4 linked regions of the Ovis aries genome follow. The protein of the gene in region 1 interacts with the protein of each later gene in a biochemical or structural test. Links are inferred from orthologs where the notes say so. Each region holds a gene or a part of one and is shown on either strand. Other genes may lie near its edges. The genes, in order: PAFAH1B1, NDEL1, DCX and NUDC.

Region 1 (4,823 bases):
TTTTTGTTTTATTTTTATTTTGCCTGTGCTGGGTGGTCATCGCTGTGCTGGCTTTTCCTCAGTTGTGGCAGACAGGAGGTACTCTGCAGCTGCGGGCGTTGTGCGGGCTCCTCATTGCGGCGGCTTCTCTTGCTGTGGAGTGCAGGCTGCAGCAGTTGCGGCATGTGTGCGCAGTGGTCGCAGCTCCCAGGCTCTAGGGCACGGGCTAGTCGTGGCGCACGGACTTGGTTGGCTCCACAGCCTGTGGAATCTTCCTGGATCAGGGATCAAACCTGTGTCTCTTGAGTTGGCAGGTGGATACTTGACAACTGAGCTATCAGGGAGGCCCCCAATATTTTACTTTTTAAATGAGAATTCCCAGTTGTGGTAAGAATTTGATGAAGCAGGCATTGTAATTACATTTGATACAGTCTTACAGGAGAACAATTTTAGCACAATATATGAAGGGCTAAAAAACTTAGTTTTTGACTCAAAATTCTTTTTCAACCATCACTGTCTGACCTAAATATTGCAGAATGAGGATGGATATTTTTCAGTATTCAAATGTTTTCACTATAATGTTTTGTATAGTAATGAAAAACATTGCGTTTTGTTTAGAAAATAATAGGAATTACTTCTAAAAGAATGCTTGCTAGTAACTTTTTAATGGCATGGAAAAATTCTTATGATAAGACACAGAGGGAAAAACAGGTTAATGATGTATACACAGGTACTGTACTTTTTTTAAAAAAGAGCATAGAAAAAATGGAAAAATCATGCCATTGGTAGGATAGTGAATATTTTTATTGCCTTTATATCAGTACATTATAGATTTTTTAATCATGAGCATTTATTTTATAATCATACAAAAGGTAAATACCCAGTAGAGAAAAAATTGATTATCTTTAATTCCTAACATTTATAAACATTACATTACCATGTTTGCTTACCATTTATGAAGAGACACGGTTCTGGGTATATTTATTAATAGTTTAGAGGAAGATGCTTCAGTGTTCTTTAATGAATGCAGGAAACAAAGTTAACTGAAATGGAAGTGAACTTCAAGGTCATACCTACCGTTCAGAATGTATTCACCTGAACTCTTGGTGTTGAAACAATTAGATATCAAAATGGGTAAAGATAATATTTAAAAAAACCCCTATAGACTGATACAATAACATTCATGAACATAAATGCAAAATCCTTAACAAATTATAAGCAAATTGAATCCAGCAGTTCATAAAAGGAGTAATTAGTATGTCATAACCAAGTAGGGTTCATCCCAAAATGCAGGATTGGTTGATATTTAAAAATTAATTAGTGTGATATACCATATCAGTTAAAAAAGCGTAATAGTTTCAGGAAAAGCATGATAAGAACTCAACAAGCTAGGGAGGGAGCTTCCATAGACTGGTAAAAGGTAAAGGTATCTGGTAAACCCACAGTGGACAAAATATTAATACTTAACGGTGGAAAGCAGTTCTTCCCCCTCGAGTTCAGGGATCAATGACCACTTAAATCCACGTTTGTATTAGAGTGGCTAGCCAATGCAGTAGAGAAGAAATAAAAGGCATACAGATTGGAAAGGAAGAACTATTACCTGCAAATGTTACTTACAGATAACATGATTTTCTGTGTAGAAAATCCCAAGGATTCTTCAGAAATTTGCTAGAACTATGACTGAATTTAAACAGAATGCCAAGATACAAGGTCAATATATAAAAAGTAATTATTTCTATAAACTATAATAATTGAAAATTAAAATTCTAAAATGCTATGATAACATCAAAAAACCCCCCAGTATAGTTAAGAATACATTAAAGAAAAAAAATACATTAACTGTGAAAAAAGCTAAACATACGGTAATCACTTCAGTGTGGAAGTAGTTGAACATTTAAATGGTAAAATTTTTATATGTTTGTTTTGGGGAGCATACATAAATTTTCCATAAAAGAAATGTTTTTAGAGGATATTTTTGTATTTTTTTGCATAGTTGTATAATTTTGTGGGTTTTTTTATGTAACATTGTATACATGCCATAGATTCCTTATATCTATGTGGCAATTTCCCTACTATTGGATGTTTAAATTGTTTCTAGACTTCAAAATGCATTTTCTAAGTTTCTTTAAATTGTTTGAAATACACCCTATCACAGATATATTTTATTATGGTAAGAATGGAATCAGCCATTTGATTTTAGAGCACGTACGTAATTAGTGTTAGTTACAGACTTAAGACTAGCATTTGACCACCAGAACAGAAGTTCAGTGTGTTCTTGAGATGTGTTTATAATAATAATTATTCTTGAGAGTTTATTATTTTCTTTAAAAATGCGACTGTGGCTCAGTGCTTTTACATCAAAATGACCATATGCTTCTGTTAATCTGCTATTTAAAGACAGTTACATCTTGTGAAGTCTTTCCTTGGCTTCTTAGATGTCTGAGCTCTGCTTGTCTAGTAGAATTGGGTATTCCTTCATCATTCCCCTAATATTCTACATATAAATTCACGTCAGGCTCATGAATTTTTTTTCTTTTTTTGGCACTTATATTTACTTTTTAACTTGTCTGTTGCCTGATGTCAGGCTGAGACGAGACTGTTCTGTGGCAGTCACTAGCATGATTAGATATATGGTGGATACTTAATGAATGTGGTTTTAGAGGTTTATTTAATAATCGTTTTTCTCTATAGAGAAAAGACCAATTTATGCTTGAAGATGTGATGATTCTAAGACAGCTATCCTTTGTTAGTTGCTCGGTTAGTCACTATAGCGCCAGACTGGCCTGTCGAGTGCAAATGTGAACTGAGAAAGGAATGATGTGATGCTAACCAATTTTCTGTTCACTTGACAGGTGTGGGATTATGAGACTGGAGATTTTGAACGAACTCTTAAGGGGCATACAGACTCTGTACAGGATATTTCATTCGACCACAGTGGCAAGCTTCTGGCTTCATGTTCTGCAGATATGACCATTAAGCTATGGGATTTTCAGGGCTTTGAATGCATCAGAACAATGCATGGTAAGGAGTGGAGGACAGCATTTTGATATTGGTCTCTAACATAGTATTGCAGGGAGAAGAAGGATAATGTTTTCTTACAGTGTGCAGGTTCCCTTCATTCGGTCCTTACTGTGCCAGTGTAGGAGCATATGATATAGACAGTCCATGGATAGGCATGGTCATTGAGAGTTGTCTCTTTGTTTCGAGGTTTAAGAATCTCTTTGTGCTTGCGTGCTCAGTCGCTTTAGTTATATCCGAGTCTTTGCGACCCTGTGGACTGGAGCCCACCAGGCTTCTCTGTCCATGGGATTTTCCGGCAAAAATACTGGAATAGGTTGCCATTTCCTTCTCCAGGGGATCTTCCCGAGCCAGAGTTTGAATCTGCGTCTCCTGTGTCTTCTGCATGGCAGGTGGATTCTTTACCACTGAGCCACTGGGGAAGTGTCTCTTAGTGGTTATAAAATACTTACTTTCACAAATATTTTTGGATGAGAAAAACTGCTAGGGCATCTATCTGTTCTTGAGAAAAAGAGAAAATGAAGTTACTGAGGTGGTTTTTCTTTCTGTTTTTCATTTTTCTCAATTGGGAAACTGAAGTTAGAGAGTAAATACAGTAAAAGCTGGAACCCAGGTTCCCTTGTTCACTTTTTAATATCCCACATACACTGTAGTCTCATTGTTATCTTCTCCTTGTCCTGGAGATTATTTTCTGAAGCAGTTTGGCTTTCTGGAAAGAGCGTGGGCTTTGAAATCAGATACCTGGATTCTGAGTCCTACTTGTTTACTTATGGCATTAGGAAATTTTAACCTCTTTAATCTGTAAGGTTAATAAAATTTAAATATTGAATTAAGAATTGAAGCCATAAGGCTTGTGAGGATAAAATGAGATTGTATGCTTGAATCATCTGGTTTAGTACCTGGTACATAGGAGGTGGTTCCTAAATAAGGATTTTTGTTTTTTAAAACATGATAAAATATGGATGTTTGGATTTTATATTAACTGTGTTAATAATAAACTGTTTTAAAATACATTATGCAGTGATGTTAGCACTTGAGAAAGCTATGCAATTACATAGATGGTGTAATTTGAATAATATGTCCCCCACTCCCCAATTTAAGTGCATTAGGGAAGTTTACCAGTTAAAGGAGTTTTATTGAATCCTTTTATAAAATCTGTATTTGTTTTGTTAGGTAGCCTGTGTCTTATTGCTCTGACTTAAAGAGTTCTTTCCAATCATTGTATATTCCTTTAAATGATGTGATACTTAAGAGAATTTTCTGGGGCTTTTTTGCCATAGGATAGCTAACTAGCATTATGAATAATATATTTTATTTTTTTTGCTCCTGTGCACATCAACACAAAAAGCTTTCAACCACTAGTTTCTACATAGAGCCAAATGCCCATTTTTCTGATCCATTCTATTCATCTCTGTAAATCGTATTTCTATTTTATATCTTAGAATAGCAACCATGGAAATTTTTGTTTTGTTTTGCTTTTTAGTGCTCAAAAACATCCGATGTGTTAATATATTCAAATGCTGATGGTACCGATTACCTGTGATTTTAACACATTATTGGCTGGGACGTATTTGCAGAAATGAACACCGTATGGCATTAATAGGTCTTCAGTTAATAACTTGTTAAAATAGTTGTGCAGGTTGAAATGTAAATTGAGCTGGCTACTTATTTCATTGTGAATTGTTTTATTAGTTACTAATTCCTTAACAGTCCCTTATGTTTTTGTGTAAATCCAAGTTTCTTATTAAATTTATATGAACTCCCTTGTATTTAAAGTAGCTGTGATACTTGAAATCCCTGATGAAATCTCATGGTAAATTAAGGTT
Region 2 (5,284 bases), about 4.4 Mb from region 1:
TGGCACCCCACTCCAGTACTCTTGCCTGGAAAATCCCATGGGCGGAGGAGCCTGGTAGGCTGCAGTCCATGGGGTTGCGAAGAGTTGGACACCACTGAGCGACTTCACTTTCACTTTTCACTTTCATGCATTGGAGAAGGAAATGGCAACCCACTCCAGTTGTTCTTGCTTGGAGAATCCCAGGGACGGGGGAGCCTGGTGGGCTGCCGTCTATGGGGTTGCACAGAGTCGGACACGACTGAAGTGACTTAGCAGCAGCAGCAGCAGCCCCAGGCTGGAGACAACATGATCCTGAGCTGCCCTGAGGTCAGTCTGAAACCTTCATAGCATCTTAAAAGTCCATGAACATTTATGGACTAACTTCCAGTGCTCTGGTAGATGCTCCTGGGAAAACAGAGACAAATCCATGCAGCCCTTACCCTCCCTGGGTGACCTTGGGGAGATAGACAGCTCCATGGGAAGGAATTATCGGTGAAGGGCCTCAGTCGTAGTTCTTAACCGTGGTGCTTCTCCGACATGGTGGGACCCAGTGACACATTTGACCTGCAGCCACTGTGGAGGCGAGAAGTGACTCCAGACCAGGGTGGCATGACCTGCCAAAGACTTAAGGAGTGGGTCAGATTTGGAGAGGCAGAAAGGAGGGGGGATGCCACCAACCACTGAAGGGAATAATGGGATGTATGTGAAGCCAATTACACACATTATCTCATTTAAGCCCAAACAATGCCATGAGGTCAGTACTGGTGTCACCTCCATTTCATTTTGCAAAGATGAGACACAGAGACACACAGCAACTCATTCAAGGTCTTGCCACCAAAAGTGGTAGGCGGAGGCTACTTCCCTCTGACTTCCCATTTTTTCTCTGAAGCCACAGGTGTGCTTTGCCAGGTTCTGGGCATCTCCTGTGTGCTCAGTTTCACAGACGTGTCTGACTCTTTTGCGATCCCATGGACTGTACCCCACCATGCTCCTCTGTTCATGGAATTTTCCAGGCAAGAATATATGGGTTGCCATACCCTCCTCCAAGGGATTGTCCCAACTCAGGGATTGAACCTGAGTCTCCTGTGTCTTCTGCACTGCAGGTGGATTCTTTACTGAGTGAGCCACTGGGGAAGCCCTACCTTTTATTTATTATTTTTGGCTACACTAGGTCTTTGTTGTGGCACATGGGCTTTCTCTAGCTGTGAGCAGGGGGTTACTCTCTTGTGGTCCATGCGCTTCTCTTTGCAGTGGCTTCTCTTGTTATGGAGCAAGGGCTCTAGGGCGCTAGTGCTTCAGCTCAGTAGTTGTGGAGCATGGGCTTAGTTGCTCTGGGGCATGTGGGATCTTGGTTTGCAGACCAGGGATCGAACCTAGGTTGGCAGGTGGATTCTTACCACTGAATCAACAGGGATCCTGCATCTCCTACCCTTAATGTGGGAAAGCTCTCCTCCTTGCTTTTCCCCTCTAATACAGGGCTGGAGACAGACAAAGGGGAAGCTTGAAGTTCTGGCTAAAGAGTTAGGGATTGAGTTTCTTTTTCTCCTTCCTCAACCCTGAAGTCTTGCTCAATAGCAGCTGAGCAGTGGGGCTGCAAGGTTGCTTCACTTCTAGAAGGCCGGCCGCAGCCTTCCTGGCCCAAACCCACTTCCGGTCTTCGTGCCTCTTTTGTCACAAGGTGATTCTCACACTTCCTGTTGATTTCCACTTTGTTTCAGCTGCTTCAGCTCCAGCCACTTTGTGCTGCTGTTGATCTGATCTGCGAGGCCTGGGACACAGGACCAGGTATGTTGGGATGGTGGGGACTGGGGGGTCAGCTTGGATAAGGTCTGGGCCAGATCAGGGCCAGAGTGGGGGGCTCCTGGTAGACCCTTTCTGTCCATTGTGGGGGACTGTCAGAGGCTGGGGTCAGTTTGTGAAGTTGGTTATGTCCCTGTGAGGGATGGTACCAGGGGTGGCTTCCTGAAACCAGATCATTTGACCTCTACCCCCCTAAAATCTCATCACCTTGATTTGGTTGTGTGTTACGTGAGCTGCCCAGGTAACATTTTTCTAGGCTGTAGAGCGAGCTTCATCTCTGGGAGATGGCTTCTCTGGGATTGACTTCGACACAGCTGGTGTGATGCTTGAAAGTTTGCTGAGCTGACCGAGTTGGGGCTTGTGATTAAGTCCTGGCTCCTTGTCTTACTGACGGGCAATTCACTGTCTTCTGAACCTTTCTGGTCTACACAGTTCAAAAATGTCTCTGTTTTTTGGGATGTTGGTGATGCTTAAGCAGGATGATGATTGTGAAAGTGTTTTGTAAACTGTAAGACGGCATTCTCAGGGTGTGAGGTTACTTTCATTTTCTAAATGGAACTAGATACCTTTTTTTCCTGATTGTGGTAACTGGTGAAAATATAAACAAAGAGAAAGGGAAAATTTTTACATAATTCCAGCCCCAGAGATTATTAGTGACACTGGTATATAAAGTTCTACTTAAAAAATTGAATTTTTAAAAAATTTGATAAAATATACTGATTCAACGGATACGAACATGGGCAAACTCTGGGAGATGGTAAGGGACAGGAAGTCTGGTGTGCTGCAGTCCATGGGGTCACAAAGAGTTGGACACAACTGAGTGACTGAACAAGAACAACAAAATATACATGAAATAAAAATTAGTTTTTAAGCATACAGCTTAGTGGCATTAAGTACATTCCCATTGACATGCACCCATCACCAAGATCCATCTCCAGATTTTTTTTCTTCTCCAAGTGAAACTGTGTACCCATTAAACAGTATCTCCCTAGTCTTCCCCACCCGTCTCTGGCAACTACCACTCTACTCTCTCTTGAATGGAACCATACAGTATTTGTCCTCTGATGGCTGGCTTATTTCACATAGTGTAATGTCTTCAAGGTTCATGCATGTTGTAGCAGGTGTCAAAATTGCCTTCCTTTTTTAAAGTGAAAGTGAAGTCGCTCAGTCGTGTCTGACTCTTTGCGACCCCATGGACTATATCCTACTATATCCTATCAGGCTCCTCTGTCCATGGAATTTTCCAGGCAAGAGTACTGGAGTGGGTTGCCATTTCCTTCTCCAGGGCATCTTCCTGACGCAGGGATTGAACCCGGGTCTCCCACACTGCAAGCAGACACTTTACCCTCTGAGCTGAAAAATATTGCATTGTCTATAGACACCACATTTTGTTTATATCATCTGCTGATGGACAGGATTGCTTCCACCTTTTGGTTATTGTAAATAATGCTGCTGTGAATACGAGTGTGCAGATGGCTACTTGAGTCCTTGCTTTTAATTCTTTTTCGTATTCACAAATGGATTTGCTGAATCATATGGTAATTCTGTGTTTACTTTTTTGAGGAACTTTCAGAATGTTTTCCATAGTGGCTGTACCATTTTGGATTCCTACCAGCAATGTACAAGGGTTCCAATCTCTCTACATCCTTACCAACACTTATTTTCTGGTGGTGGTTTTTTTCTTCCTCCCAGGGGGTGTGGTATCTCGTTGTAGTTTTGATTTGTGTTTCCCTGATGATTAGTGATGTAGAGCTCCTTTTCATGTACTTGTTAGCCATCTGTATACTTCTCTGGAGAAATACCTGTTCAAGTTCTTGGCCCATTTTTAAATCGAGTTGTTTGGTATTTTTGTTATTGAGTTGTAGTAGTGGTAGTTGTAGTAGTTCTTTATATATTTTGGAAATTAACTAGACTTCTAAAACAATATTTCTTGTGTCAAACTGTATTTACTGTTCTCTAACCATTTTTAAACTTGTTTATTTATTGGCTGTGCTGGGTCTTTGCTGCCTGTGGGCTTTTCTTTAGTTTCGGGAAGTGGGGGCTACTCTTCTTTGTGGTGCTTGGGATTCTCATTGCAGTGGCTTCTCTTGTTGCAGAGCATGGGCTGTAGGGCATATGGGCTTCAGCAGTTGTGGTGCGCGGGTTCAATAGTTAGTGGTTACCCGGCTCTAGAGCTTAGGCTCAATATTTGTTGCGGGCAGACTTAGTTGCTCTGCAGCATGTGAGATCTTTCCGGATCAGGGATTCAACCTGCGTCTCCTACACTGGCAGGCAGATTCTTTACCACTGAGCCACCAGAGAAGCCCTCTTTTTTTCACTTAGTATCACTTGAGTATCATCTCATGTTAATTTATAAAATCTTCCTTGTCCTTCCTAACAGCTGTGTAGTATTCCAGTGCTTGGATTATACTATGATTTATTAAATGAGTCTCCTGGGTGTTTAGGTTGTTTCCAGTTTTGGGCATAATGATAAAACAATGCTGCAGTAAACATCACTGAACATACGTCTTTGCATATTACTTCTATAATTTCCTTAGGATAAATCCTTAATAAGTTGAGTGCTGGGTAAAAGGTTATACATATATTCACAGTTTTAATTCATTTGTCCAGATTCCTCTAATAAATGTCATACCATTTGTTTTAAATTTCATATCCACTTTTATTAAGGCAATTACAAAGATTACATTGAAGAATAGCAATTCCTTGCCTCATCTCCCCTCTTCCCAGTTCTCCCTACCACACACATTTCCAACTATTTTAGTTGTTTCTATTTCTAAATAAAGTGCCTTTATGACTAGTTTTTTCTGTTTTAGTTATCATCTATTGACTTTGTATTATGAAAAGTAAGGACACAGCACTCTTACCTAATACATTATTGCTCCCCCATCTTCCTGATATGGTTAATCACATATTTGGTGAAATTAACATTCATATAATATCCTTATTTCTCTAAAGATATTTATTAACGTTCTTTCTCTTTCCAGCTTACTTCTGCTCCCAGTATTATATTCATTACTCCTAAATTTCTTTTGTGTTATTTTGCTATTTCACATTGGAGAGTGTTTGGTGGTTCCTAGTTGAATGTTTATTTTTATGACCAGGGAACTCAAAGCTGATTGGAGGCTGTGTATGTATGTGTATGGCAGGAGTTGGGAGCTTGTTGACTGTTGGACCTGTGTGTGTGTGTGTGTGTGTGTGTGTGTGTGTGTATGGGGGGAGTTGGGAGCTTGTTGACTGTTGGACCTCTCTGAGTGATCAAGTGGACAGGCCAGGTCATGTGGTTCTGTTGAGGAAAATTCTTTGATCTCGTGCCTGGAGGGCAGGCTGCCGCATTCTTGGAGGGTCAGTAGGGGAAGGAAGCTGCCTTCTCATCATTTGATACACAGCCTTTGAAGAATCCCCCCTCCCTCTATCCACTTCCTTTTGTAGTGTAGTGACAACCTTGCCCTCTGCTATGCCCAGGCTCCCAGGTCTGGAGCTTCTCTGGTTTAATTTCGCCAGAGAA
Region 3 (4,823 bases), on another chromosome or scaffold:
CTGTGAGTAAGTTATTGGTGAATTAGCTCACACAGTCACAGAGTTAGGGGATGATCCTGACGGAAAAACACATTCAAAACGTATTTCCCAATCATGAGGAGAAAAGTATGGGGAAAATATCAAGTTGCACTAATACAGACTTTACAAACAGCTCAAGTGACAAGGACCCTGAAAGAGGTGGCATTTCTGCTGTGTTCCCTTTGAGAAGAGGCAGATGACCATATAATAGGTAAACAAATCCCAGACTGTCCAGTTTCTTGTATCTTGTATATCTCCAGCTCTGGACAGTGATCACTAAAGTTTGTCAATCAAAACAAGAAGTAAAAAAACAAAAAACAAAAATGAGCTTTCTGCTTAATTCAGTTTCCACCAAAGCTTAATATGCCAGAAAAGATCTCCTAATCTTTCAGAGAACCAATATTTTTGGTGTGTCTTTAAGTAGAAGGTGATGAGGTGGTGTCCAATGAAGAGATAACCCAGTGCCTAGCTGTTTGGTTCCACTTTGAGCATGATCACATGAGGTTGGAGAAAGATAGTGGAAAGAGCTCTAGACTGGGACTCAAGAAGCTTGACTGTGCATCCTTATTTGCTGTTTTCTTCCTTTGTGGCTCTAAGCAAGAGATTTAAGCTCTTTGCATTCTCATCAGCAAAATGATTATAATAATCCTCCTAACATACTAGCACCATCAGTGTCCCAAATTACCATGGTAGGGATGCTGAGTGACCTGCATAGAAAGGGTACTCCAAACATGTCAGACTGAGCTTGGGGGAGTAGCAGAAACATTTGGCAGACTCTCCTACACACCCAAGGCCTTTTTCTCTCTGTAAGTCATGAGTGGCATAGTCTCTACTGGTCCATTTATTCATTAAACCAGGAGAACGGATTATGATGAGATAGACTGACAATCATAAAGAACTCTATAAATGCAAGGTGGTGGTGGTGGTGGTAGTATTGCTTACTTATAAAATGACATGGCGTCCTTAATATGCCTATTGCAATAAATGACGTGATGAATAATAAATAGTGGCGCCTACCCCCTCCTTTAAATTATTCATGAATATTTCATCTGTGTGGCTGCAACCTCTGAGCTGTCAATCTCTTCTCCAAGGAAATCAATTTTGTCAACAGGTGCTGTTCTGAGCCATGACTAAGTTGTCCAAAAATGATTGACCATTGACTATTTAATTACCTGCTCGGACTACTTTTCAACTCCTGCCCTTGTTTCCATGATCCAGGAGTTGAAACATCTGGCTTAGCCCAGGTGCCTTTGAAAGTTTCTCCCTTGCCTCTCTCTCCAGAGCCATCATTCCTTCAAACATTGAGGACCACCTTGTAGTCCTGAGACATGAAGTGCTTTGGCATGAGGTGCTTATTCCAGTTTCCAGAAGTTGGTAATATGCTGAGTCTTGATTCTCCCCAGCTCTACTAAGCCATCTGTGTCCTTTTCCACCAGAATGCCGAGTCATGAAGGGAAACCCATCAGCCACAGCTGGCCCTAAGGCATCCCCAACACCTCAGAAGAGTTCAGCTAAGAGCCCTGGCCCCACGCGCCGGAGCAAGTCTCCAGCTGACTCAGGTAACGACCAAGACGGTGAGTGCTCTTCTCCTAACTGTGCACGCTGACTTCATTTATGGAGGGCAGTACCCTCTGCATGCAGAGGAATGAGTTCCTCATGAACACCACTGTGTCTCCGTGAGACCAATCCTATCCATTCAGAGACTAACCAGTTCAATTTGTTTGGCCTCATGGAGATACAGCTACAACCCCGATTCTACTCAGATGGGTACAGACCAGAAATCTGGCCCACTTTCCATGCTTGCTGTAATGCTGTTTGTTATGGTTCTCTTCATTGCCATTATTCTCAACGTCATCCAGCAAATGCATCGTCAGTGATATAATCAAGTCAAACATAAATTTGGAATAGAAAATCAGAATCAAAAACAAGAAGGTTAAAAAAAAAGAGCTACTTACCTCAAAGTGTCAACATGGTAGATGCCCTTGAGCTTTAAATGTAACTTTGAATTTTTTAGAAGTCAAAACAAAAAGGGAAACAAAATAAACTGCATCATTCTCACAGGAGTAAAGGACATATAGGTCAGGTTCCCAAAGGAAATAAAGAGACTTGATATATAGGATTTTATTTAGTGGATAGTTCATGATGTAAAAAATGTGATCTAGGGGTCTAGGGATCACTGCTGACGCATGAACTATTTATCAGTCTGTGAAGAGACTGGAGCTGGTGCCAAATGTAAATCATGCCACTGAGCAAACCATTTACTTCAGCCAGCTCTTTTTTCATAGTATGATTTTACTGATAAAGGCAGCAGTGTGTTGGTTTACATTCTGGTGCAAGGCCTTGCACCCACATTTTAAGTGGCACTGATCTAAAAAGCAAAAGGGCCACAGAAGTCCAAGTGTAGAAGCTCAGTAGACTCATGCACTGACAATTTGAATTCTTCATGTATAACAAATTCTATGATCCGGAAGACTTACACATTTATCCTCCCAAAGCTCAGGGTACACCATGAGAATTCTTCTAGCCAGAGAGCCTTGGGGCAGAGAACAAAAGCACTCCTTATCACATCTTCGATTTGAGGCAGCTTGAGCAACCTCTCTTGGCTTTGAAATGTCCGTGGCCTAGAAAAACAGCTGGTCCTGCTGGCCTCATCTTACCATGCCTATCACTGGGCATCTCTTTATTCTCAGGAAGAAGGAACCCAACTGTGAAGAGGCAACTCAGGCTTTTCATACCTTCATGTCTTTGCATACCCTGTTCTCCTGCACCTGGAATGCCATCCCTCAAACCCACCACTCTTCTTTGCTTGAAAACTATTAATCCTTCAATACCTCAAGTAGAAATAGTTGTTCCATTTTCCACAATATCATAGCATGTTGTTCATATCTCTGGGGTAATAGTCACAGCTGTGTTGTAAAGTATGTATTTGCTTGTATGTATTTACTTCCTCAACCAAATCCTGGGTCCCTCAAGGGCAAGGTGTCACGTTCATTTTTGTATTCTTAGTGCTGAGCACAGTACCTTTGTCCTAGTAGATGTTAACAGTGTTTGTAAAGCACAAGAGCACCTATTTCACCCTGCACAGTGCTAGAAACCCAGTAGACCTGTAGGTAATACTTGCTGAAGGAACTTTTAAAAATACAGCTGTTTTGTGATATTTTGGTTAAACATAATAGCACATGAAACTATGTAAGCAAATTCATATTGCTCAAACTACAAAGACTTAGATTTTAACACTTGGATTGAGAATGAAATTGTTTGTAAAGGTTCGAAGCAGGGCCTTGCAAAAAAATGTACTTGAAACACTTGATCAAGATTCATGAAGTCTGGGGACTTCCTTGGTGGCCAAGTGGTTAAGACTCTGCCCTTCCACTGCAGGGGGCACTGGTTCAATCCCTGGTCAGGAAACTAAGATCCCACATGCCGTGCAGTATAGCCAAATACATACATGAATAAAAATATTCATAAAACCTGGCAATAATCACTTAGCTAATCAATTTTTCAGAGTATCACTGGCTATTTCTGGGATTTTTAACCTGTATTACTTATTTCTTGCTATAAAACAAATCACCCTAAAACATACTAACAAACATTTATTATCTCACGTTTTTGGTGAGTCAGGAATTCTGGGGTGGTTTAGCCGGGTGGTTCAGGATCTTTCATGTAGTTGTCATGTGGTTGAGGTCAAGGTGTCAGGGGATGCAGTCATTTGAAGACACAACTGGGATGGTAGAATTAACTTCCAAGATGGCCACTGGCAGGATCTTCTTCCAGACAGTGATTCAAGAGAATGAAGAAGAAAGAAGATGTGGTTCCTTTTATGATCTGTTCTCCAAAGCCATATACTGTCACTTCTGTTTTAGCCTTTTTTTGGGAAGCAGTGACTAAGATCAGCCCACATTCAAGGAAGGGGTTGCAGCCTCCATTTCTGGAAGGGAAAGATATCTGAGAATTTGTGGGCCTGTTCTTAAGCCATCACATAATCCATTAGCTAGAAAGGCTGGGGTGGCAAAAGTTTGAAGTAAGTAGATTCTCTTTGCAGACTATCCAATTGGGTTACCCAGCACACATGAATACGACTACCTGTAATTAAACACAGTTTATACATACGTCAAATAATTGATCTCCAACATGCTACCTACAGAATTTCCCTTCTAAAATAGATGCGCCTCACTGAGTATAATGTGTTGGAGACAGAGAAGGAATGCATTTAGGACTCAATGAGCATGTATTAAATTGAGTTTTAATAGATCCCAACCTAGGCTTAAACAGGCAAGACCTATTTTTAGGTCTTGAACTCTTTCTTTCAAAAGTCCCTTGCTAAAGAGAAGGAATGAGGATGCACTCACACATACAAGATAAACAAAGTAACCAATTTGAGGTAGGAAAAATGGGACCTTACTTGGTATCAGAATTATTAACAGCCCTTGTTTCTTACCAGTAAAAAACAAACAAACAAACAAACAAAAACACCTAAAGTGGTATCCTCAGTAGAGACTATTTAAATCTTCATTTCAGATAGTTCATGAACATAAGTGAAGTCAAACTCTAATCTAGCCAGCCTTCATGTTCTGGCAATTTTCAGAACATTTGCACTCATCTTAGATGATGTGTTTAGGGCCTTCACATGATTTCAGCCCACAAAGGTAAAAGGGAGTTTAGGGTCAAGAGTAGGACATTCGCTCAGTGAACATTCCACAGGGATAAAGCCAATCTCAGGCAAACCAGTACTTTAGGTAAAGTTTGGAGTTGACATACCCATTTTCCCTTTTCCAGCTCCTCCTCACTCAGGACTATTCTGAGCT
Region 4 (3,523 bases), on another chromosome or scaffold:
TCCCCGGACTGCAGCACGACAGGCCTCACTGTCCCTCACCATCTCCCAGTTTGCCCAAGTTCATGTCCATTGCATCGGTGACACCATCCATGTTGTCCCCTTCTCCTCCTGCCCTCAATCTTTCCCAGCATCAGGGTCTTTTCCAGTGAGTCAGCTGTTTACATCAGCTGGCCATCGTATTGCAGCTTCAGCATCAGTCCTTCCAGAGAATATTCAGGGTTGATTTCCCTTAAGATTGACTGTTTTGATCTCCTTGCTTTCCAAGGGACCTCTCAAGGGTTGTTTCCAGCACCTAAGTTTGGTTCTCTGCCTTTGTTATGGTGCCCCTCTCACATCCATACATGACTACTGGAAAGAACGTGGCCTTGAGTATACAGACCTTTGTCAGCAAAGCGATGCCTCTGCTCCTTAATACACTGTCTAGGTTTGTCACAGCTTTCCTGCCAAGAAGCAATCTGAGAGCTTAGAAAATGGGCCTCTGGGGCCAAAGTTTTTTTGAGCCCCATTATCTAAGCTCAGCCTTGGGAACCACTACTGGCATTCCCAGAAAAAGGGGTAAGTTTGATAAACAGACAAAGCCAAATACTGCATAGCTGAAGTCTTTAACAAGCTATTCTGAGATGCCAAAAGGACACATACGCTGTGTCCCAGAAATTCAGGAGTCACCCGTGGCTCATAGGGCATAGCACCCTGGGCAAGTGAACCCATTCGTCTTGTTACCATAACCTCTATGGCACTCTGCACTGTGACCTGTACTTCCTGCCAAAGCGGGGCAAGGGTCAGCTCTGGTGGCTGGACTGGGGCAAAAGAGAACACCTCTCCAGCCTCAGTGGCTCACTCCTGAGAAGCCCTAAAATCTGCAAGGGTCCAGGTCAAAGACACACAACAGGCTCCTTTGGGCTTCCCCCTGCCTTCCCAGCCAGATCCCCACCACACACAAAGCCCATCTGAGGCCTAGGCGGTGCCCCTAGGCTTTGCTGCTTGCTCTCTGCCTCTGGGAAGTAGTGTATAGTTTTAGAAACACTTGCTCCAGGACTAAAGGACAGACCCAGTGCAGTGGGAAATTGTCTCAGAGATGAAAATGGAAATCAAGTCAGGCTGGTCTTAAGTGCTGCTGAGTCATGGGCCCCTTGGAGAATCTGACATTGTTTGGTGCCTATAACCAACCCCTTTTGTTCAAAATCATACACAGACTAAAAGCCTTGTCGGGATCCTCTATTTAAGTAATGAGAAACTGAGCCCAGGGAGAGGCAAAGACTTGCCCTAGATCACACAGCAGAGCCTGGGTGAGCAGTCAAGCCCCCAGGTCACAGCAGCAGTCCTAAGAGGCCTGAACCCCAGAGAAAGGCCAGAGGGAAGAGAAGACGTGAGTGGAATTGGGTAAATGGTTTTAATGTGTAACAGCAGGCCAGCTGAGGAGGACAAGACCCCCCCCCAAGGCCCCAGCCCTTCTCCCATGATGGCCTGGGACCTGTGTGTGCCAGCCAGCCCCGTGCCTGCCCTGGCCCTGTGGCCCACCAGTCCCAGGGAGGGTGGGAGAGGAAAGTGGGGAGCCGGGAGCTCAGCCTAGAGAGTTCAGGGGAGCAAACACAGGGGCTAGTTGAATCTGGCCTTGGAAAAGTCCATCTCTGGATGCTGATCCATGAACCTGCAGAGACAAAGCAGGAAGGTGAGACAGGCCATCCGTCTCCCTAAATTTGTCCCTTTCTCTCAGCCTCCAACATGAGGTCTCATCTGTTTACAGCTCTCAGCAACCCGGAGCCATGCCAGACAGGAGTGGGGCCCCCAAGGTCTCCCCAAGGCTGGATGCTGAGGTGCCAACACCGGCACTGCTTTTTCTGTTGGAAACTGTGACCGCCTGTTACCCTTTCCTATCCTGTGGTGGCCTTGCCCTCAAGATGACCTCAGTAAGTGATTAGGGGAGGCAAGCCAAGGCTATAAAGCCATAAACTTGGCTGGCTCATCCTGGAAGGGGCGGGGCAGCTCCTGTGTTCTGCTCAGTAAACACTTGCCACTGTCACCCAGGTCCCAGCCGTAGACACCTCCCCCAAACCCCCATCTCTGCATCGCTCACTTCTTCAGAATCTCCTGTTTCTTCTGCTCATCGGAGGTAGGCAGCCCCATAGACTTCTGTCTCTGGTCGTACATCATCTTCTCCACCATGCTACGGGTCTCACTGTCCAGGTCTGACAGCTGGGGGCAGACAGTGACAGGGTGGGTGAAGGCCTGGGGCCACCCAGGCCCCAAACCTCCCGACCGCAGCTCCTCCAAGCAGCCTGGGCTCACCTTGGAGTTCTCGGGGTTTATCTTCTTAGTATTGATCTCGGGGTCACTGGATACCAAGCGGCTCCACCACTCCATCTTGTTAATCTGAGAGGAAGAGGAGGGCCACCCGGGGACGGGTGGTGGCTCACTCTGGACCCTGGTGACCACCCCCCAGCTCTTCCAGAACCAAACTCTCTCCCAGCCACATCCTGCATCAGGGACTTACAAGGCCTGAACTGGGACCTAGGGGCAGAGAGGCAAGACCTCTGCCCTCCCCGGTGGCTGGGGGAGACAGACACGGAGACAGTCAGCATGATAACGGAAAGAATAAAGTACAGAGGGAGATACTCATCAGGTGGAGGGAGAGGTTCGGATGACACACAGGGCTGGGCCTTAAACGACACGCGTGAACCACGTTAAAAAGCAGGGAAGGACATTCCAGGTGGGAGGAAATGCAAGGGCAAGGGCACAGAGGGGTGAGTGAGAGGCAGCCAAGGGGGTCAGGTAGGCTGGGCCAGGCAGTACATGCCATGGGACTCTTTCCTTGGACCCTGGCGCTTCACAGAGCCCATGTTCACTTACTGGGGTCTGCATCCCAGTTCTCTGAGAGGGGAGAACGCGGGCTTCCAGAGGGGCATAGCTTTCTACGTCTGGTTCACTGTTTTCCCTCCAGCACTTAGAACAGTCTCTGGCATGAGTAGGTGTTCAAGTATTTGCTGAACTGAATGCTTGTATTGATACAAACCTAATGGAGGGACTTCCCTGGTGGGTCCAGTGGTTAAGACTCTGAACTCCCAAGGCAGGGGGCCCAGGTTCGATCCCTAGTCAGGGAACTAGGTCCAATGTGCTGCAACTAAAGATCCCACATGCCACAAGGAAGATCCCGCACATGGCAACTAAGACCCATAATAAAAATTCAGACCCAAAATAAAAACCAGAAAAAAACCTAATGGACCTGGAGAAGGAAATGGCAACCCACCCCCGTATTCTTGCCTGGAAAAGTCCATGGACAGAGGAACCTGGCGGGCTGCAGTCCATGGGGTTACATGACTGAGCATGCATGCATGAGGGTGGAGGGAGATGGGCTGGTACGAATAAGCTGGTAGAACAACAACAAAAACCTAAGGGAAAGGAAAAGGCTTTGGTACTAAAGACAACCCGGATCTTTAACTCCACCCTCTTCTAGAGGCAGAAGTTGGGCAGATCTCTTGGGCTGCCCTTTTTCTGATTCTAAAATGTGGCAGACCTACTATCAAAG

The links.
Region 2: the proteins of PAFAH1B1 (region 1) and NDEL1 form a complex in vitro, tested with the Homo sapiens proteins (3 studies listed by BioGRID). The link is inferred for Ovis aries from reciprocal best matches to the Homo sapiens genes PAFAH1B1 and NDEL1.
Region 3: the proteins of PAFAH1B1 (region 1) and DCX form a complex in vitro, tested with the Homo sapiens proteins (2 studies listed by BioGRID). The link is inferred for Ovis aries from reciprocal best matches to the Homo sapiens genes PAFAH1B1 and DCX.
Region 4: the proteins of PAFAH1B1 (region 1) and NUDC form a complex in vitro, tested with the Homo sapiens proteins (3 studies listed by BioGRID). The link is inferred for Ovis aries from reciprocal best matches to the Homo sapiens genes PAFAH1B1 and NUDC.

Annotation. Positions count from the first base shown.
Region 1 is NC_056064.1:23,447,994-23,452,816, forward strand, and holds part of PAFAH1B1 (platelet-activating factor acetylhydrolase IB subunit beta), read left to right. Parts: intron 1-2,831; coding exon 2,832-3,000; intron 3,001-4,823. UniProt on the Homo sapiens protein: Regulatory subunit (beta subunit) of the cytosolic type I platelet-activating factor (PAF) acetylhydrolase (PAF-AH (I)), an enzyme that catalyzes the hydrolyze of the acetyl group at the sn-2 position of PAF and its analogs and participates in PAF inactivation.
Region 2 is NC_056064.1:27,824,196-27,829,479, forward strand, and holds the start of NDEL1 (nuclear distribution protein nudE-like 1), read left to right. Parts: upstream 1-1,673; 5' UTR 1,674-5,284. UniProt on the Homo sapiens protein: Required for organization of the cellular microtubule array and microtubule anchoring at the centrosome. May regulate microtubule organization at least in part by targeting the microtubule severing protein KATNA1 to the centrosome.
Region 3 is NC_056080.1:123,686,468-123,691,290, forward strand, and holds part of DCX (neuronal migration protein doublecortin), read left to right. Parts: intron 1-1,454; coding exon 1,455-1,577; coding exon of another isoform or gene 1,578-1,592; intron 1,593-4,823. UniProt on the Homo sapiens protein: Microtubule-associated protein required for initial steps of neuronal dispersion and cortex lamination during cerebral cortex development. May act by competing with the putative neuronal protein kinase DCLK1 in binding to a target protein.
Region 4 is NC_056055.1:240,000,088-240,003,610, forward strand, and holds the end of NUDC (nuclear migration protein nudC), read right to left. Parts: intron 2,371-3,523; coding exon 2,287-2,370; intron 2,194-2,286; coding exon 2,075-2,193; intron 1,649-2,074; coding exon 1,597-1,648; 3' UTR 1,372-1,596; downstream 1-1,371. UniProt on the Homo sapiens protein: Plays a role in neurogenesis and neuronal migration. Necessary for correct formation of mitotic spindles and chromosome separation during mitosis. Necessary for cytokinesis and cell proliferation.